Linked DNA regions of Rattus norvegicus. The protein of the gene in region 3 purifies or fractionates together with the protein of the main gene of each other region. This does not show direct contact. Links are inferred from orthologs where the notes say so. Each region holds a gene or a part of one and is shown on either strand. Other genes may lie near its edges.

Region 1 (5,305 bases), on a different chromosome or scaffold from region 3:
CAAGGACAGCTTAGTGCAACATGGCTTTTAACCGCAGGAAAATGCTACCTCTAAGGGCTTCCATGATTGGCTGCACAGTCTCTGACCACTGGTGTGCGTTGATGGTCGTATAGATCCCAGGGAAGTCTCTTTGCCAGATTCGCTGTCCTACTGACCAAATTCCCCCAAGTTCAGAATTTGCCTGCAATAAAAAGTGTTGTCTTTGAAGGTACCTGCTCTGTAATAACGAACATATCTTCAAAAATTATCAGAAGTGACAGAATTTGTTAGCTGTATCATTAAAATACACTCTATTCATTTTAGGAGATGAAATTACTTTTCTAATAGATGTATCCAGCCCGCAGGTCACAGGGCCAACAACAGGTATAAAATGTGAAACCTTTTCTTTTTGGTAGCTTGCATGCCCAGTTCTAGACTATGAACTCTGCAAATAACATCATTTTGCAATGTCCAAAGGTTGGATCTGCCTGATTCTAAAATGCTGTGAGCAGTTATGTCAACAATTTCTATAATTAATGTTTTTATTGCAACAACATGAGAAAGTAAAAAAAAAAAATTTCAGAATGAAGTCTGGGGATCAATTATCATAACTAAGCACTGCTGCTTAAATTTAAGATGCTAGCACTTCTTCATGGGACAAAACTACCACCAGAAAGCTGATTAACAAGGCCCTGTCAATTAGAGCCTACTTGCAGAGTTCCCATTCATAACAGCTCATCTGTTTCATTCTTATAAAGAGAATGGGAAAGGAAGTGAAGTAAGTCTTACTTCATTCTACCTGGCAAGACACCTTTCTCAGGTCATTTCATTTCATCTCCATCCCAAGTAAGAAAACCAACTAACAGAGTGAGTGTGATCTTAATACAGTGACTATCCATGTAAATAATGCCAGTTTACAAATAGACATCATTACAGCAAATTAAGTAGTCTGCTGAAATTCCTCAGCCCTTCAGCCACCTCCTAGACCTCACTGGCCAGTGTGAACAGACCGGTCCACACGGCAGGCCTCATAAAACCATCATTACATAAACAAGATTTCTGAACCTCCCCGTTAGAGACCTGCTGGTCTGAACCTCCCCATTAGAGAGACCAGATGGTTTGAACCTCCCCGTTAGAGAACCTGCTGGTCTGGAACCTTAATATTCACTCAACAGTGGCTTCAGTGATATACATGAGAAAGAAAAGAGGAACTGGATGCTGTCATTTAAGTAAATGCTAGTATTCTAAAAGCAACAGGGGACACTGCAGGAGTACTTACAGACTTTATAGCAGGTGGTATCCTCTTCCAAAGATATCTTGCATTATTCCTAATGTACACAAAGATCAGTTTAAGCAAGTCATCTCAGTCAATATACAGAACGATAGGACCTAATGTAAACGCACAATAGAACACCTACCAAAAGAGGCCACGGCACAACTCAGTTCTATATGAATTTGTTGAGGAAAAGCGGTTTTCCAGAAAAAAGGACATGAAATAACTTTTATTCAGGGTAATTTTTTTCATTTTTTTTGCTGAATTTTTAAAAATTAACAATTCAGATCCTAAACTACAGCAACAGATTTAAACCACGGACTTAGATACAAATGTGTCCATTTAAAGGCTCTGAGTGTCCCTCTCAATATATGTGTTATATTTTTGGAGCCATTCTCCTACTGAGTGCAAAGGGGTTGGAACAATCATAGGACACATGATCACAAAGCAGAAATAACTCATGTATGTATAATGAAGAAACTGAGCTTAGTTTCTGTAAAAAATATCACAACGGGTTGTTCGGAACCACACCAGGCCTCTATTCTCTAGCCCTCTCAAGCTTCTGCTTCCCACCCAGGAAGACTAATTCAAACATATCTAATCCTTCCTGGCTCTCCCAGTGTTCCCTGCCAGCTCCAGCTTCTTCGCTTCTACTGAGTACAAATTTGCTTTGCTTTGCTTATTTGATTTTTTGAGGCAGGATTTCTCTACGTAGTCCTGGCTGTACTAGAGCTGGATCTGCAGACCAGACCGACCTCCAACTCAGAGAGCAGCCTGCCTCGGGCTCCCAAGTGTGGGGAATTAAAGACATGCACGACCACCACACAGTCTCTGAGTAAACATAAGTTAAAAAATAAACACCATTGTTTTTATGTTCCATTGGTTCGTGATGCTAGATTCTCAAAAAAACTTACCATGTTTTTTAGGGGTATATAAAACACACACAACAACAACAAAGAAAAATCTAGCTTAATTATTCATGTGACTGAACAAGAAACAGATACAACATATTATGGTAAAGGTAACCTATCTGTTACTGCATTATCAGTGCAAAAGGCACTACTTACATGTCGTTCTGCAGCAAATACAAAGCGAGAAGCTGACCATACACTGGCGGCGTGGCGATTCCTCCAGGAGCCTACATAAACAAAGGGGGGGGGGGTGGGCACCTTATTTCCCAAAAACGTTCAGAAAAAAGAAAATTAAAACTTAAAAAGTAAGTTTTCTAGTACTACAGATGCAGACAAATGCTGAGGGAAGTACCACAGATGAAAATCTGAGCTTAGATGTTGTGAGCTGTTATTGATCCCCAGTGAGCTATCAGTTTCTTTCCATATTCACAAATATGTAATGCCATCACCTGCTGAAATTCCTCAGCCCCTCAGCCGCCTCCAGCACCTAACTGTCCAGCTGGGAACAGGCCAGTCCACACCAGCACGGCAAGCCTCATAAAACCATCATTACATGCACAAGATTTCTGAACCACCCCGTTATTGAACTAATTAGTCTCAAATTTAAAAAAAAGTAAGAAATACTTCCAACAGGTTCTTAATGCACTATTTCTCTGCCCGTTATTTTAAAAGGTTAAGTAAGATTAAAACAGAAGACTACCAACGGGTAGTTATGGAGGTCTCTGCTCAATCTTTATTCGTTCAACATGGTCTGCGGTCTGCTAAATGCTCATCGACAAGCTGCTGCTGTCCCCTTCAGTCGGTGAGCCCCCTGCTCTCCCTTTTATTTTTTGTTTTGATTTTTCGTAGCCCAAGCAGGCATCGAATTTACCAGCAATCCTCCTGCCTCCGCCTCACGTGTGCCCACGGGATTCCTGTGACACTGCACCCAGCTTATTTAGTGAACTTTTTATCTTAACATTATAAATGGAAGTGTCTCCTGATTATAGCCAGAAACTGGGGCTTGATGAACCCGGACTGTGCTCCTAGCAGGCCGCGGCCTGGCCCGTTACCCTGGAAACGGGCGCCCACCCGACCGCCGCACTTTGCCGCACTACCTCAAGCTCCTGGTTCTCGCACTGATCCAACAGCTTTCTGAAACTGAAGGCGTTGTCCGCCATCACCGCCACTGGCATCTTCCCGGCCGCTCTCGCCGCCGCCACCCCGCCTGACCAAAGCACAAGCTGGCCCTCGGGGCGTCGCGCCCTCGATGACGTAAGAAGCTGGCTCTCCGTACGCATGCGCAAATGTGTCGTCATTTCCTAAGCGACGCCGTGGCTGAGAAGCAGGGCAGCGAGCGCTCTGCCCCGCCACCTCGGTGCTCTGGAGGACCTGCTCCAGACTTGGAGGAACCGGCTTTCTAAGACAGGCCACTGTCACTGGGAGGGGCTTGGCTGCGGCTTGGATTCTCCGCCCAAGGAAGGAAGTGATAGTGGGACTGCATCTTTCACAGCCACAGTCGCCGTGGGAGAAAAGTAAAACCATTGGACCTCCACGTGTTTTGAGAACGCTGAACTGTACTTCTAAGCTAAGGTGTTAAAGAGGAAACTCTAAACCCGAAACTCTTCTTGGCTTGTGCTATACACACATCCCTTTTCTAACAATGCACTTGGCAGCCTGAGGATCTCACCTACACCTACTATTCACACACACACACACACACACACACACACACACACACACACACACACACACACACACCTCCTTTTCCGAACAACTAACACACACACACACCTCCTTTTCCGAAAATTCACCTAGCAACTGTCAGAAAACCAGGACCCCTGTCCACAACCTGTGTGGAGCTTGCAGGCACATCCTCTCCAAGTAATGGGATAAGTTTCTCCTCTCTCTACTGACCTTCAAACAGATTCTATTCACTGATACTTCAGTTATGTACAGTATGAGGGCAGGAGGTCTGATCTAACCTGAATTGGTTTTAGGTGACTGCCCAGGAAGGTAAATCATGTCTTCTAAGTGAATTTGCTAGGAGAAACTCCTATTTACCGTCTTGATTGTGCATGCTTGGGAATGCATTTGATTAAAATCAAATACATTATGGGAAGAGATATATACAATGGAAAAAGGGAGGTAACATAGCTAAAATCTTGCAATCATAACAGAGTGCAATGCCTCTTAGCAATCAGACTCCTTCTTGAACTCCATAAAAGCCCCGAACAGTAATTGGGACTCTAGTATGCTAGCTCAAGTGGCCAACTGTCACTCATGACAACGTATTTCTTTCTAATCTGTAGTATGGCTTTGCTTTTGCATAAGGTTTCCTTGCTACTTTGCATATCTGGGTGCCTGAATTTCAGTTCCGGGCATGAGAGGTAAAAACACCTAGCCCATACCCTGACCATTCCTCAGACATGGGAAGCGGATACCAACCAATGGTACGGATACCAACAACTGCCCCTTTGCTGTCTTCTTGGGCAGAACTGGAGATTGGAACACAGGCTTTGTGCATAGTTTTAACACTGAGCTGTACCTCCAGGTCTCCTTTTACTTACTGAAGACAAAGTCTTACTAAGTTGCGCAGGCTGGCCTTGAAGTTTTGGAAAAGCTCCAAGCCTAACTCTCACTTCTCTCTTTCTACCTGCCTCAGTCTCAGTAGACCCCAGCACCATGTTACCACCTGTGTATGTCTCATGCACACACACACATACACACTAGAGGTGAGTGAAGTCTCTCTAGCTTGAGCCACTGGTGTGCCTGACCTTTCCTGGTCTCCTGATAAGCAAGTGCTCCTTGACTCTTCCCTGTCCGATGTCTTTTCTTTGAAGCCCAAACCATACCTTTTTGTTTTTCTGCTCAAATTCATGTGAACAAAAGTTCCCATAAAGAAGCTACCCCTTACTAATTGACAGACTGGTAAAGTTTCCCAGGTTGGGAAGAGGTTGCAAGGTTGCAGGTTCAGAGTACAATTGTGCTTTATCCTGGCCTATCTTCAGTTCCCTTGACAGCTAGTCCTATGCCTACTTGTGCCTAACCTAGTAGCCCTGTGACTATTGAGTGAAACCTTCCATGGGCTGCTCGCTCCTCAACTGTGAACACACTGCTTACTCAATTATGCTGTGACTCACTTCCCTTGTGTGATTTGGAG
Region 2 (5,289 bases), on a different chromosome or scaffold from region 3:
GAAGGGGAGAGAGAAGGAGAGGGGACCTCTGAGTGAGAAGGACTCAGCAGAACGGAATGCAGCATATCCCTTTGGCCTTGGATATAATCCCCTTGTCTGTCCTGTCAGTCTTCATACTTCTCTATTTCGTTTACTTTCACATCTTCAGCCCCTTTCAAACTAGTCTTAATATTTCTGAGAAACCTTTAACTTACACCCTTCCAAGTATAGAAGATAAGGTCTAGCTGGCCCCTAGGGTCTCTCCACAAAACCCCATACTCACTGAGACATCACTCGAGACTGTTCTCCAAGGGAGAAGCTTCCCCGGTGGCAGAGGCCCCGTTCTCTCTAAATGGAAGGGATTGGGGAATATTGCTAGCAGAACTGGAGGGCCACTGTAATCACACCCAGTCCCCTCCTCCAAGGGTATTTCTCTTGCTACAAAAAGCAAACAGCCCAGAGCACCAGGATGCAGGCTGCTAACACACTCGAGCCCCCACACGTGAGGTTTCCTTGGAGGTTTACATCCTTTTTTCAGGAGGTAGCAGAACTTCTGGCCTCAACAGGTCTGCTGCCAGGCTGACGAGAGGCAGAAAGGCCTACCTGGTGTAGCATTCGAGGGAAGCTATGCTCCTGAGCAGTCCTCCCGAGTCCTAGCCGCCCCGTGGCCAATTCCACCCGAGTTTTGATCTCATTGTACTCCAGCTCCCGGGTGTCAGGGGTTGCATCCACTGTGAGTACCAAAAAAGAAGTTTCGTTCCAGGACTTACAGCCCAGACATGAGCTAGCAAAATTGTGCCCACTCCATGTGGTTGGCTACAAGGATTCCCTCGTCCCCTGAATTCTCTTTTCATTTAACATACTAAGCTTCAGAAGACTGATTCACTTTAAAGGTAAAAAAGTCTAGTGAACATCTTCCAACATTAAGATCAGATTGTCAGTTATGCATGGCTTTCATCCCAGCACCTGGGAGGCAGAGGAAGGCAGATCTGGATTAAACTGAGAATTCTAGAACAGCCAGGGATACAGAGAGACCCAGTCTTAGAAACAAAACACAAGGGACTGGAAAGTGGTTAAGAGCACTGACTGCTCTTCCAGAGGTCCTGAGTTCAATTCCCAGCAACCACATGGTGGCTCACAACCATCTGTAAAGAGATCTGATGCCCTCTTCTGGTGTGTCTGGGAAAGCTACAGTGTATTCAATATACATAAAATAAATAATCAAAAAAAAAAAAAAAGAAAGAAAAACAAAGAAAACACAAACCCAAAAAACATTAGATGGCCTCTCCTCTTACCAGGTGGGTTGTATCGATCTCCAAGGCGACCGTCCCAGGCACTGTCATGCTCTTCCTCTGAGTCTGAGAGGGCCTGGATGAGTTGTAAATTTGCTGCACCTCCACCTTGCACCAACCTCACTTGGCCTCTGTGGAGAGATCCCCATTATAAAGGAGGGGATCCCTTCTCCCATCTAACCAATGGCTATCTGGCTGGAGTCAATGGCTGTCTAGCTCCTAGTACATTTGGTTCTCATTTTGAAGTTGGATTTTAAGTTTCCAGAAGTCATAGTAGGGCCAGGCAGTAGTGGAGCATGCCTTTAATCCCAGCATTTGGGAGGCAGAGGCAGGTGGATCTCTGTGAGTTCGAGGCAAGCCTGGTCTACAGAGTGAGGTCCAGAGCAGGCAGGGCTACAGAGAAGCTCTGCCTCAAAAATAAACAAAACAAAGCAAACACACAAAAAGACACAGTAGGGAACTAGTTTGAACTCTTGAGTAAGAGCACAGAGTTCTAACAGGCTACAAAGACTGACCTACTAACTGATTTGTCTCAGGGCTAAGGACTGAACCCAGGGGCTCAGTGCATACTGGATAAACTTCTACCACAAAGCTATACCCCAAGTTCAAGAGCTAAGAATCAGGAAAGCACTTCCATCTCTATTCCTTAGTATCCTTTCCTGTCATGATAAAATACCCCAACAAAAGCACCTTCAGTGAGAGAGGCTTATTTTGGCTCATGGCTCAAGGGCAGAGTCTATCATGGTGGGGCAGTCAAAGCAGCAGGGACAGGAACAGCTGGCTACAGAGTATTCACAACCAGGGAAGAGGACAGGATGAATGGTTGTGTTTAGCTACCTTTCTCCTTTTTATACAGTCTAGGACCCACACCCAAGCACTGGTGCCACTCATGTTCAGTGTGGGTCTTCCTAATCAACGAACCCAATCGCTATAATTCCTTCCAGACCTGCCCAGAGAGGCTAAAGAATCCATCCCTCCTAGGTGTGCTGTCCCCTAGGTGACTCCAGACCCTGTCAAGCTGACAATGACAACTCTCACAGCCGTTGCTGTAGGAATGCAGCACAGAACACAATGTCCAAGGGATACTAGGTTTATCTTTTCCCAAGGAACCACAGGCAGGCAAACAAAGCCAAATATTCAAGTCGTTCTTAGTTCCTGGTGGTCACCCCCTTCAGGGCATTCTTTTCTTAAGAGCAGGGCTAGTAAGGTCGATGTAAACTTGTTTTTCAAGTAAATCCACATGGCTTCATCTCACATAGCAAGTGATTTAACACCCCCTTCCCAACTCTTCTCACATCTCTCCTTTCCTCCATAATCCCTCTTCCATTTCTTGTTTTATTTTCTTGGAAAACAGATTAAATTTGTGTTGTCACAGCCAAAAAGACTCCCCCTGAGAGGTCCCTCAAGCCGTGCCCTAGGTAAGAACCATTTTGGGTATGGAGCTGCATAGAGAGTATGGACATCCAGCAGGGAAAGGTGGTCCTGTTCAAACACAAACGTTGTCCTGGGACAGTACCATTCCCTATCCTCTGCACTTTTCCTGCCTGAAGTTGAGGTCAAGATATTGGGATGACACTTAGTGTCACAGCAGAGGGTAAGTTACCTGCGGAGGAGATAGGCCAGTACCTGGGCCAGATCCACATCTTCATCCTCTTCTTCTTCTTCCTCACTACGACGCAGGCCAGCCCCTCTTCGGGACAAGCCCTCGGAGGGTTCTAAGGACCCGGATCCTGCGCTGCTGCTGTTCCGTGATCCCATGTTCTGGTTACAGCATCCTTATATCCTGTGCAGGGACTTCTCCTGTCTCCAAATTGGGTTTGGTGAAAGCAAATCCTGCTCTAGAAATATCAGGGTTTCCAGAAACGGGGCAGAAGCTATCTTTAGAGGGGTGACCCCTCTAGGAGACTGAGATTTCCTTCTCTTTAGCTATGACAGCTCCCAAGGTTTCGGGAACATAAACCTTCCTCAATCCTGTGAAGCAAAGAAAGCCACATGAAACCTAGGGTGCAACCCTACCGTACTAATGAGAGTCCATGAAGAGGAATTTCTCATTTTCCTAGCCAAACTCACCTATCAAAGTCCCCGGCCCAGGGTGGCCGAATCCCAGATAACCTCTCCGACTGACCAATCAAAACCCCTTGCGGAAGAACGCACTTCACTAGCTTATCTCACACAACCAACCAGAAGCGTTAGAACTCAGACCCCCGACGCCCCCTTCTGCTGACCAATCAGAGCAATTTCTTGAGAGCCGGCAGCAGCAACAGCCAATGAGGTTAGAAGTCAGCCTAACACCCCCTCCAGTTTAGCTTCACACCCACGTGGTGCGCCGGGGGTGTGTACAACAGGGGGAGGGAAAGTGGAGAAGCACCTCCCCCGGCGTCTGGCGGTTACCGCCCCACGCGAGGTCACTCACCAGCCAGGAGCCGTCGCAGGACCCGCAGGGGCGAGGCCCTGTTTACACTGCCTACCGCTGCCGCGCCGGCTAACAGCTCCTAAGTCGCGAGCCTCGTCCGTCACGCCTCTGACTGCCAGGCCTGATGACGTCACTCGACGCTCCTCGATGTTCCGCCCCCTTGGTCCGCTGATTGGACAGCTGAGACCGGTGATTGATGGGTGGGCTGGAGAAATTTCTTAACCCAAGGGGGGGCGTTAAGTCGTAGCGGACTGGAATTGGCTGCGGCCTGCATTAGAGATAGCGGAGCTAGACGTAAAGTCTGCGAGGTGGTCCCTTAAGGTCGCTTGGCCTCGAGTGTTTTTTTTTTACTGCATGCCCAGCCGCTCCTATTCCCTCAGCTCCCAGCAACCCCAGTTCAACCGTTTTTCCCTGGCTGTAGGGCCAGCGGCCTGTCGAAAGCAGTCCTCACTGGTGGAACCCAGGCCTTTCCATCCTGCTGTGTACCGGCTTACCCGCGGCGGTCTTGTTAGACGACCCCTGGCTTCCTTTCCTGGTCTTTGCAGACGCTCCCTAAATGTCGCGGCCCTCCACGGAGTCTTTCCGGTTGCGTAGTGCGCACGCGCTCCCTGGGTCTGGGCTTTGCCGACCTTCCCTAGGCTTCAATCGCGCGCCGCCTCCTGCGGGTTTATGAATAACTTGGGTGAGTCCAAGGCCGAGCCCTACCTTGTCTGGGATGGTTTCCCAGGCCAGGGAGCGTAGAGGCTGGTGACGTTGGCCTTGGCCCAGAGCAGGGCCACCGTGAGGACACCTCAGCACCCTGGACCAGCTTGTGACAGGTCCTGTAAGGTTTCCCCTGGTCTCTAGGCCGGAGACCCCAACATTTTCTCCCGGTCCACACTGACGATGGTTAAACTGCCCATTGGTTGTAAAATTCTTAACTGTAAACAAGCGCCCAGCATTTTGTTATTTGGCTGGTCTCCATTAATTATGTGGACAGGTATTTCTAACATACACCGAGCTTTCAGGATTCCTATTTATCTGGGTTATCTGGTCTGGAAAGTCTGTAATAATTTTAGAAAGTATTTTACCTTCCTTACTACTCCTCAAATTCTTATATGTTCTGTAGATATTTTTTAACTGATTACTTGAGGTTTATTTTCACAGTCGCCATTTTTCCACACTTGAGACTTTTTCCATTTGTTGATCTGCTCACGTATCCTCTTAAAAGTATTTCGTTCTTAAGAGCTGACCAGTGATTTTTTTCCGTTTTTTTTTTTTAATATATATTACTTCAAATACAGACTTCCCAACCTGATTACTAACTTCATTTAAAAATTTTATCTAGGGCTGGAGAGATGGCTCAGTGATTAAGAGCACTGATTGCTCTTGCCAAGGTCCTCTGAGTTCAATTTCTAGCAACCACATGGTGGCTCACAACCATCTGTAATGGGATCTGATGCCCTCTTCTGTTGTGTCTGAAGAAAGCCACAGTGTACTCACGTGCATACAGTAAATAAATAAAATCTTTTAAAAATTATTAAAATTTTTGTCTTCCAATCAAATGTGCCTATAAGTGTCTTATTTCTACTCTTGCACCTTTTCACAATGTCTTATCTGAGAGAT
Region 3 (5,313 bases):
CCTGGTCTGTCAGGGGCTCATTTCTGCTACTAACCCTTTGCTGTGCTACGCATCCGATTCCTATTCTCAGTCAGGGCTGAAAACTTTCAGTGTTCAGAGTAGCACAGGTGCGTGTGCACACACATACACACCAGACACTGTAAATTATGTGCCCCCCCGCCCCCCAGAGGGTTTGTGGCCATGGCTTCAGAATGTCCTCATAGCGAGGTCTTACGTCATCCACAGCACCTTCCCTCCTGTCACTGCCACTTATCCTGGCATGTCACTCTGCTGGTTCTCACCTAACAATGTTTTTTTTTTTTTTTTTTTTTTTTTTTTTTTGGTTCTTTTTTTCGGAGCTGGGGACCGAACCCAGGGCCTTGCGCTTCCTAGGTAAGCGCTCTACCACTGAGCTAAATCCCCAGCCCCAACAATGTTTTAACAAGGCTATAGACCCAGCATCTGCTAGCCTCCAAGGACCCAGAGCTGTGGCCTTCGAAGTAAGTTACTGATAAATTGCTGACTTGTATTGTTTTATCCATTTATCCGATCTCTTTCACTGGAACACAAGCTGGAAATGCTCCTTCTACCTCATCTTAAGGACATACTTTAGTTCACTGTAGAGAAAATCAGGGACAAAAGCCAGTTTCTTGTGAAACAGCAGTCCCAAAAAACATTCTATCCTCTGATTCCACCACGGGTCTTCTAATGCCTGGCTCAGTCTAGCCACACACTACTGTCACTCTCATGACAGGCTGGTGTCCCAGGATTGGCCATCCATCTGCTCTATACTTTTAACGTTCTTTTTTTCTTTTTTTTTTTCTTTTTTTTTTTTTTTCCGGAGCTGGGGACCGAACCCAGGGCCTTGCGCTTCCTAGGCAAGCGCTCTACCACTGAGCTAAATTCCCAACCCCACTTTTAACGTTCTTGACTCAGCCATTTCCCTGAATGTTCTCGTCACTGTGTTCATAGCAGTTTGCCACTGTCTTAGGGAAGACAGCATCTTCACCATCTACCTGGGGGTGGGGTAGGGGTGGGGGTGGGATTTACCATGGCATAACTCAAATGCCCATTCTCTCTGATTTTAGGAGACTCCAGACTTTCCCACAGTTACTACTGTAACTGTGAAGGGAAGTGCTTTTTTTCTTATTATCATTTACTTTATGTATATGTATACACTGTAGCTGTCTTCAGACACACCAGAAGAGGGCATCAGACCCCATTACAGATGGTTGTGAGCCACCTTGTGGTTGATGGAAATTGAACTCAGGACCTCTGGAAGAGCAGTCAGTGCTCTTAACCGCTGAGCCATCTCTCCAGCCCAGGTAGTGTTTTTTTCGGTTTTTCCCTCATTGGAGTTGTGAGAACTGTACCTATACTGAGCCATGCATACGACAAACAAGGGCTCTTTCACTGAGTACATCCCTACTCCTTTTTTGAGATGGGGTCTAAGTTGCAGAGGCTGGTCTAAAATTTGTGGTGCCCTACCTTAGCATCCCAAGTTCTGAAATGGAAGCCAAGGCCTCACAAATGCTAGGCAACCACTCTATCAGCTGTTTCAAGGTTCTCATCACCATTTTTTAAGGGAAAACTGAGACTTAATTAGGTTTTTCTGATCCAGGTGACAAGATTTGTTGTTTTGTTTTTAAGACACGGTTTCTCTGTGTAACAGGGGCTGTCCTGGAACTCAAGTCTGTAGACCAAGCTGGCCTCTAACTCAGAGATCCACCTGTTTCTACCTCCCAAATGATGGTGACAGGATTATTAAGAGGTATCAATAGGCACAAATCTTCAATCCCAGCACTCCGGAGGTGGATCTCTGAGTTGAACACACAGAGAGTTCCAGAACACAAGTTATAGTACACAGAGAAACCCTGTCTCGAAAAACAACAACATCAATAACAACAGTAAAGATATCATACTGGTGGACGAGCTGGCATTTATGAGTGGTATTGTGTATGACATGTTCTTTTGTTTAAAAATTTAAAATCTGTGTTTCCTTCAGCAGCACATATACTAAAACTAGAACGATCCAGAGAAGATTAGCATGGTCCCTGGGCAAAGATGACCTCAAATTTATAAAGCGTTCCACATTTTTAAATAAAAAAAAAATTTTTTTTTTAACTTCTGCATGAGGCATAGTCAAGAAGATTCTCAAGCATTCAAGGCCAGCCCAGATGACGATTACCAGTTTAGTGCAGCCAGGACTACGCAGTGAAACCCTGACTGAAATTGTGGGTACAGAGGAAGGGAGCAGTAAGTTTACAGACCCCTTTTCTGTAAGAGATACAGGAAATGAAGACCTTTTTTTGACTGCTTACTTTTCCAAGCTGACATCTAATTATCAATACCCTGTTCACCTGAGTGGCTATTGGTTACAAAATGAGCCCACCATTCTCAAGGAAACTTTGGTCCCGAGGTTCTTTTTGAATTACCCAGGCAAGCAACACACCTCTCTAACATTAGGCATATCCAGCAGTTCCCCAAACACGTAGACACCAGGGGCCTCCAGCACCTGGTGGATGAGTGTGGCCAGTGCTGCCCCCTTAGCCGACTTGGCAAGGAGCAGAAATTGCTCCTGGTTCTGCCCTGTCACCTTCACCTCCGCACTCATGGCTGCACCCTGGTGCGGGGCTCTGGCCTCAAGTTTTCTGGAGCTGCAAGGAAAGAGGAACGTAAAACTAAAGGTCCCTGAACCACGTGAGGGTGGTCAGCTCAAGGGTGGGGAACTGCACTCAAGAGGTACCACGTCACTTCTGCAGTGTGCAATTAGGTCAAGAAGTCTAAAAGCCAACTCTAGGGTTCCTTAAAGTCGGCCACATCCTGGCTGCCACGCCCACCCTCTCCTCCATCGGGGCAGTCCCAAGCCCCACCACGTGCATCCCATTGAGTTCCAGGACAGATGAGGAAGGGAGGGAAGAGGTGGCACATGGTGTCTACCCCAACGACGACGAACTCCCAGCTCTAAACTCGTGTCTTGCACGTGTCCTCAACCACGTGACCTCACCTTTTCGATCCTCACTCGTGGCTCCACCCCCTCCCTTAAAGAGGCAGCCCCGGGTCCGCGAATCTGTGCCCAAGGCCGGGTCGTACCCTGGGACAGACTGCGACCGACCGCTACCTGGAAGCCTCGTCTTCCAGCGCGCGGGGCGGGGCGGCCGCTCCGTCACCTCCGGCAGCGGCTCCCAGCCTTTCCTGCCACCTCCCCGCAGGGTCGCTCTAGCCACGCGCTTCTATGGCCAGTTTCCGGCCGCACTTCCGCTCTCGAGAGGCGGGTTCCGGCCGGCTATGGCCTGCTTCCGTTTCCCGACCGAAGGAGGTGAGAGAGCGACACCTAGCTTCCGCTCTGTCGATAAAGCTTTATTGGTGCGGGAGCGGTGGATGCCGGGTGTAGAGAAAATCCTGGCTCCGTGGAGGTCCTGGGTAGATGAACCGCCCGGTAGCTGCAGGAGAGGGGAGGAGGGCAGCGCCAAGTTCCTCCGGCCGCATGAGCGTTAGTGGAAGACGAGAAGATGCAGAAACTAAAAATAGGAGACAAACATGGCTAGAGTTTCAACGGTAGATAATTTAGGTAGTTCAACCACTCATGTTTTTCAAAGAGCAGAATAAAAAGTAGACAAACGTGGCTAGAATTCAACGGTAGATAATTTAGGTAGTTCAACCACTCATGTTTTTTAAAGAGCAGAATAAAAGTTTAAAATGCAAGGGGGCAGGGAGTGGTGACCCACACCGCTTCCCTGTGTTTTGGAAATAGAGGTAGGATCGGGAGTTCAAAACCAGCCCCAGGGGGTTGGGGATTTAGCTCAGTGGTAGAGCGCTTGCCTAGGAAGCGCAAGGGCCTGGGTTCAGTTCCCAGCTCCGGAAAAAAAAGAATCAAAAAAAAAAAAAAAAAAAAAAACGAAGCAAAAAATACATAGCAAATACCAAGCCAGTCTGGGCTACTTGAGAACCGGTCTGGAAAAAACAAAACAAACCCCCAAATGATTAAGGGGAAAGGGAAGTGTATTGGTCAGGCTTTTGAGGTTTTCTTCCGTTGGAATTTCAGACCACGTGACCAGACTTTTGGCCGATTAAAACCAGAAGGATTACTACACCTAATCGTTCTGGTTTTAATACTTGAATCTCAACAGGAGAAAAGTGTAAGTAGAACCTAGGCAGGTGAGGAAATTTAAAAGTTAAAGGATTCAGCTGGTTATTTGTAATCCCAACAGCCAGGAGACTGAGGCAGGAGGATTGCTATTAGTTGGGAGGGTAGCCTGTGCTACAGTGTGAGAGACCCTGTCTTAGAATACTTTAAATTGCATGGTGGTACACACCTTTAATTGGGTGGATTTCTGAGTTAAATCATCCAGCATCTTATGCATAGGGAATTATGGTATAGCCAGAACTACTTAGTGAGACCATGTCTCAAAATGAAACAAAACAAAAATACTTACAGAAACCATTTAAGGGGCAAATTAAGGTAAAGCCAGACTTACTGTTTCATAATCTGTAATCCCATTACTCAGTAGACTAAGGCAGGGGAATTGAAAGTTCAAGACCTGAGTTCTGGAAGTAACCCATGAGACAAGGGAACATAGGGTCCAAGTGCAGGCTTATCTGATTCCATTGCTTCCCTGCAGGAAAAACGAGGCATGGTAGTACATGCTTGTAGTCTAGCACTCGGGAGGCTAAGTCAGGAGGATCTTAGGCCCAGAGGCCATCTGGGCTTCGTAGTGAGTTCCAGGTTGAGAGTGGTGGAGAGAGAGAGGTTAGAAGAGGCTAAGAACACTGGCTGCTCTTCCAGAGGTTCTGAGTTCAATTCCTAACTACCACATGGTGGCTCACGAACATCTATAATGAGATCTGATGCCCTCTTCTGGCCTGCACGTGTACATGCATGAAGAACACTACATAATAAATAAAACTTAAGAAAAGAAAAAGAGTGGGCTGGAGAGATGGCTCGGGTTAAAAGCACAGGCAGCTCTTCCAGAGGTCCTGAGTTCAAACCCCAGCAACCACACGGTGACTCACAAGCATCTGTAATGGGACTTGATGCCCTCTTCTGGTGTGTCTGAAGTACAGCTACAGTATACTTATATATAAATTTTTTTGGGAAAAAGGCAATGGGGGGAGAAATGAGAGGTAATCTGATCTAGTTTTGATGTGCCCTAAACCACGTGACCTAGTCTGCTTTCTATTGCCATGTAAAAATCACTGGCCAAAATAAATTTCAGGAAAGATTTTATTTGGCTCTCAAATCCTGACCACAGTCTACCTGGATGGGAAGTCAGGGCACAAACTGAGCAGAGACCGTGAGGGAAGCTGACCATGGACTTGCTCTTGAGGGTTCAC
Region 4 (5,212 bases), on a different chromosome or scaffold from region 3:
AGCTCCTCCTGCCGGCTCCTTGATTTTGGAACTGGTATGGTAATTAAATCCCTCTCAATTTTACATTTTGTTGGGTGGTGGCCGCAGTGTGTACTTTTAATCCCAGCACTCTGGAGGGAGAGGGAGGAAGATCTCTGAGTTCTAAGGTCAGCCCGGTCTACATACACAGAGAAACCCTGTCTTAAAAAACAAAAACGATTTTTTTCGTTTAAAATTAGTTTTTAGAATGGTGGCAAGGGTGGTGGTGGTGGTGGTGGTGGTGATCTACGACAACATGTGTATGGAGGTCAGAGAACAACTTTGGGAATCCATTCTTTACTGGCATGTGGGGTCAGGTGATCAATTGCAAGTCACAGGGCTTAGAGCAGTTGCCTTTACCAACTGAAACATGTCCTAGGCCCCACTGGAATCCTTTATGAGGTTGGTCATTTGTTAAGTAATGGTCCATTATATTATATTGTTTACTGCAGTGCTGAGGGTCAGACAAGAACCTCGCACATGCTAAGCCTTTATGTAATTTATTTTGGAGAAAATATTTGTAAATTCCAAAATTATAGTAGCGTTAGTTTGTTTATTTCTCTTTTCTTTTGTTTTCTTTTTTCTTTTGGATTTTTGAGACAGATCCACATTAAAGGCATGTACCACCGTCGCCACCAGGATCTTACTTTTTGACATGTTTTGTATAGCTCTCTAGCTTGGAACCCACTGAACTCGCTGATCATGCTGCTGCTGACCATTTCCAAGTATTTGGAAAATAGCTATATGCCACCAGATCTGCCAAATTTTCCCAGAAAATTTGGTAGATTTCATCACCTCTGGAAATAGGATTTTATTTTGAGAGGATTTTATTTTGAGACAGGGAATCACCGTAGAGGAGGAGGTGCTGGACTTCTATCCTAAGGTCTTGACCTTGTAAATATTGGGATTACAAGGTTAAAGCCACATACCGGGCAAGAAGATAGGGTTTTAAGTGGACTTTAAAGGATTGGCACTAATTGAACGAAGCCTAAGAGGTAAAACTGATGTCTTCTCTATTGGAAAAGTAATTAAATAACAAAGGCGTGTGTTTGTTTGCTTGCTTGCCTTTCTCTTGTGTTTCTGCATGTAGCAGTGATATGTAACTGCCACCTGCTTTTGTCAACACTGTCCTTGGGGGTGGGGAGGGCCTACCTATTATTGTTGTCAAGAGATGTTTAGGTCTTTGAATTTGACTGAATGCAAAAATAGGAGGCAGGCTTGGTGGCTTACTGAGTAGGCTGAGGCAGGAGGATTGCTAGTTCAGTACCAGCCCGGGCTATAAAAAGTCAGGCTTTCAAGAGTCGCCTAAGCTAGACACACTGTCTCAAAATTACAAATCACAAAATCACATACAAATAAAGCAGAGACTCCACCCTCCAGTGTGATTTCGATAGAAATCGTTTCCAAATTTGGGTACTGCACCCCTTTGAGCTCAGGGAACTGCGATTGCCTCATTGACAAGTATGCTGGAAGATGAAATACTTTGTCAATTGATTGCAAGAGCTTCGCGATTCAGGAAGGCTGGCTCCCTGCGCTTGCCGTAACCTGGACTGGACCATTGCATCCTGCGGGTGTGTGAGTGCAAGAGGCTGAAAGAGCGGAGCGGAGGGCGTGTGTCGGGCAAAGCCCGGAGCCCCGGAGGACGACTGCCTCCTGGAGCCCGCCACCAGCCCGCCCTCCTCCCTTGACCTCGTCGCGCCTCGCCGCAGCGGCCTTGTCTGCAAGGCTCCCTCGGGAGCAGGTGAGTGGCGGCGCCTTGCTCCGGGCACCCCCGTGGCCCTGGGGCGGTGGCGGTGGCCGGCCGGGGAGGCGGCCTCGGCGCACAGTAATGGCAGCGCTGTGAGCCGGGGAACGCGAGCTGACAGCCGCCGCCGCCCACCCTCGGAGCCGGGGGCTTCGTCCTTCACGCCTGCGGGTTGCCTCCCTCCCCGGGCTCCTGCCCTCGCCCTGCTTTTGCAGAAGGTAAACCGGTTGAAAGCTGGGAGCTGGGCTGCGGATGCAGGGAAACTTCCCTTCCCGGCGAATGGGTGGCGGGGATGGGGCGACCTGGCGGAGGGGAGCGGGCTGAGAGCCGGAGGCCCGGCAAGATGGTGTCCTGTGAGTGACCTCGGCTCCCCAGACTGCTGACCCTTAAGCCAAGCTGACCCTGGACCAGATCCGGGGCCTCCCCGACCCATTGCCGGCCGCCCCTCCCTCGGCCTCATTTTCCTCCTAAGGAGGGAAGGTGAGAGTGTGCTTTCCTGATTACATTTACATGCTCACACGGAGACCAAAGTCTCTGTAGAAGGGGGTAGCATCAATCTCATACATCCTAGCCACGAGTATTTTCACTTTTGTTTCCGCAGACAGTGAAGATTGATAGCTTTGGGGAGGAGTATTCTACGTGCATGCTACACCTCTTGCCTCAACACTTATGGGCTGGTGAAATAAGAGCCTTAGATTCTCTCCAGCATTTGTTTACATACTAGACTCTTAAACCCTTCCTTACCATTACCGTGAGTGCATGTAGAACATCTTTTGAATTTGCATTGTTATTATAAGTTATTCCCGTCCTCCTTGGTTACTATTATTGGCAGATGGCAGTAGCCTCTAAGTTTCAATTTGCAGATAAGACACAAACTACTGAGTTGCAGATGTAGCTCAGTGCTACAACACTTAGACTAGCATGCAAGGAGCCCTGGGTTCAACCCCATCGCCTTCTCAAAAAAAAAAAAAAAAAAAAAAGGTGTGTGTGTGTGTGTGTCTGTGCCTGTGTGTGTCTGTGTGTGTATTCCTTATTGAGTTTTCAATAGAAAATATTCTTGCCCTAGAACTTACCCCAAACCCATATTTATAACACAATATGGGAGATCACTTTATTTCTCTTATCCCATGTGTCATTCCAAGACACAAAAGTGATCTAACTAGCTTAACTTTGACTCTTTTGCCCATATACAGTATTTGGACGTACCTTCCCAGAGAGTTGCAAATGAATTAACAGTGGGGTACAGTTTTTAGTTATTATCCCTCTCTTGCTATTTGTGACTTGTGGGAAGGTGTGGTAATTTTTTTGGGGGGTGGTGATTTTTCTTCAGACAGGGTCTTTATTATGTAGCCCTGGCTGTATGGGATTCACCATGTACACCAGGGTGGCCTCAAACTCCCAAGAGCTCCATCTGCCTCTGCCTCCCTAGTGCTGGGATTAAAAGCATGTGGCATCACTCCCAACTCTCTTGTTGTGCTGTATAGCCTTAGTTGGTGTAGTACTCACTGTGTAGCCCCCTAACCTCACATTCTTGGGAGTCCCACCTCAGTAGGTGCGGGGGTTACAAGTGGGTGCCACCAGGCCCCGCTTTCGTTAATTTTCTGTATTTATATTGTTTGTTAGTGTCTTTTAGCTTTTCATCATATATAATTGAGCACCGAATGTGAAATCTCTGCTTTCTTTTCTTTTCCTTCCTAACTTCTTTCCTTTTTGTGGTTTTGGTTTTCAAGACGGGGCTTCTCTGTATAACAACCCTGGCTGTCCTGGAACTCACTCTGTAGACTAGACTATCCTGGAATTCAAGAGATAGATCAGTGGCCAGCACTGTCTGTCTAAATGTCTGCTTTCTTAAAGCTTCCTTCTGGCTGAGATGGAGAGACATAGATTAGAAACACTCTGAAGGAAATAAGGAATTCTAATGATTGGTTAAAAAAAAAAAATCGTTTCGGATACTGTGGTTTAAAAAGGCTTCGCTTAGGTGACCTTTGACATATTTGAAAAGGCCAGAAAGCACAGGTCTGTGGAAGTTCTGAAGAAACTCTGGAGGAAATGCAAACAAAAAGCTCCAGGGAGAGAGAGAGTCCAGCTCACCAGGAGCAGCTCAGCAAGAGAAAGCCCTGTGAGGGAGGCTGAGGCTTAGGTTTAAAGCTCTAGCTCAATTGGGCCAGAATTTAGTTTCTTAGAAACATTTCAAGTTTTAGATCTTGAGAAGTAGATAGTAACAGTCTGGTGTACGTTCTGCTGATGTCAGAAGACACCGCCCCTGGGGTCACCGCCTTGGAACCTTAAAGGACAAGTAGCAAGGTTTCCAGATGTGTTGAAGGTACTTGTTGAACATGATAAAGTGGAATTGTTCGAGGTGGGCATCTCTTGGGTTTTGGGGTTCAACGGGAGGGTGACAGTACATACAGAGTTGAGGATAGAGTTGGACTAGGTGTCTTGAGTTGATTCAGTCCAAGCGCAACATTTAGTACCAAGGTGGAGGAGTCATTCAGTTTGCTCCTTAATTTGAAGTGGGTTTCACACAGCAGCAGCAGCAGCAGCAGCAGCTCTGGTCCCGACAACTGGAATAGTGAAAAGTTAGACAGATCTATGTCTTCATGAAACATGGGGAGAGAAATGTGGATCGAGGGAGTCTTATCAGTCTTGCTAACTGGTGGACCATTTCCAAAGGTTTGTTTTTGTGCCTTTAACTGGGTCTGAAAAACGGTAGCACACCTTACGAGTGGACACTCTGATAGTATAGTAAATGTTACAAACAGGGATAAGGACACCTAAAGAAAAACAGGGAGATGGAGAAGCCTACAGGGAAGAGCAAAGCTTCTGATCTGATCTTTGCCCTCTTCGACTGTGTGCTTAGTTAACCCAGGCCTGTTACATGTGCTGTGTAGCTCAGGCTAGCCTTTTCTCTTACACCCTATCCTGAAAGTACTGGCATTATTGGTACGCATGCGTTGTGGGCTCAGATGCATGTTCTTTGAAAACTCAGCATCCTAAGTGCCACCACACATGGTTTTAGGATGAGTGGCCAGGCAGGCAGTCTTACCAACTAAGCTTCATCCCACAAGATGGTTCTTGACTAAAAACTAGTGCACGTGGACTTCTTTGTCTCTTTTTGTTTAAAATTCTAAAATGTGTAGACGTTAAATGTTCAGTTTGAAGGTTTCAATTAATCAAAGTCTTTTCTTTTATAGACTTAAACATTTAGTGTTAACCATCGTTAGTCATTAAATTATAGCCTCATTATAACTTGTCAGAATTTGGGCTGGAGAGATGGCTCAGTGGTTAAGAGCACTGACTGCTCTTCTAGAGGTCCTGAGTTCAAATCCCAGCAACCACATGGTGGCTCACAACCATCTGTAGTGGGATCTGATGCCCTCTTCTGGTGTGTCTGAAGACAGCTACAGTGTACTTAGATATAATCTTTAAAAGAAAAAAGTTAGAAGTTTT

The links. The genes of interacting proteins can lie anywhere in the genome.
Region 1: the proteins of Cops7a (region 3) and Cops8 purify together in Homo sapiens (affinity purification with mass spectrometry; 11 studies listed by BioGRID and IntAct, counting the BioPlex papers as one, with this or other methods). This does not show direct contact. The link is inferred for Rattus norvegicus from reciprocal best matches to the Homo sapiens genes COPS7A and COPS8.
Region 2: the proteins of Cops7a (region 3) and Dcaf11 purify together in Homo sapiens (affinity purification with mass spectrometry; 3 studies listed by BioGRID and IntAct, counting the BioPlex papers as one, with this or other methods). This does not show direct contact. The link is inferred for Rattus norvegicus from reciprocal best matches to the Homo sapiens genes COPS7A and DCAF11.
Region 4: the proteins of Cops7a (region 3) and Cul2 purify together in Homo sapiens (affinity purification with mass spectrometry; 3 studies listed by BioGRID and IntAct, with this or other methods). This does not show direct contact. The link is inferred for Rattus norvegicus from reciprocal best matches to the Homo sapiens genes COPS7A and CUL2.

Annotation. Positions count from the first base shown.
Region 1 is NC_086027.1:98,653,114-98,658,418, reverse strand, and holds the start of Cops8 (COP9 signalosome complex subunit 8), read right to left. Parts: upstream 3,389-5,305; 5' UTR 3,339-3,388; coding exon 3,261-3,338; intron 2,391-3,260; coding exon 2,320-2,390; intron 1,308-2,319; coding exon 1,259-1,307; intron 182-1,258; coding exon 49-181; intron 1-48. UniProt on the Homo sapiens protein: Component of the COP9 signalosome complex (CSN), a complex involved in various cellular and developmental processes.
Region 2 is NC_086033.1:33,015,754-33,021,042, reverse strand, and holds the start of Dcaf11 (DDB1- and CUL4-associated factor 11), read right to left. Parts: upstream 3,389-5,289; 5' UTR 3,342-3,388; intron 3,243-3,341; 5' UTR 3,030-3,242; coding exon 2,875-3,029; intron 1,403-2,874; coding exon 1,275-1,402; intron 711-1,274; coding exon 583-710; intron 328-582; coding exon 263-327; intron 1-262. UniProt on the Homo sapiens protein: May function as a substrate receptor for CUL4-DDB1 E3 ubiquitin-protein ligase complex.
Region 3 is NC_086022.1:159,457,066-159,462,378, forward strand, and holds the start of Cops7a (COP9 signalosome complex subunit 7a), read right to left. Parts: upstream 3,109-5,313; 5' UTR 2,987-3,108; intron 2,966-2,986; exon of another isoform or gene 2,867-2,965; coding exon of another isoform or gene 2,853-2,866; intron 2,637-2,852; coding exon of another isoform or gene 2,594-2,636; coding exon 2,432-2,593; intron 2,078-2,431; exon of another isoform or gene 1,972-2,077; intron 1-1,971.
Region 4 is NC_086035.1:58,901,745-58,906,956, reverse strand, and holds the start of Cul2 (cullin-2), read left to right. Parts: upstream 1-1,824; 5' UTR 1,825-1,980; intron 1,981-2,363; exon of another isoform or gene 2,364-2,513; intron 2,514-5,212.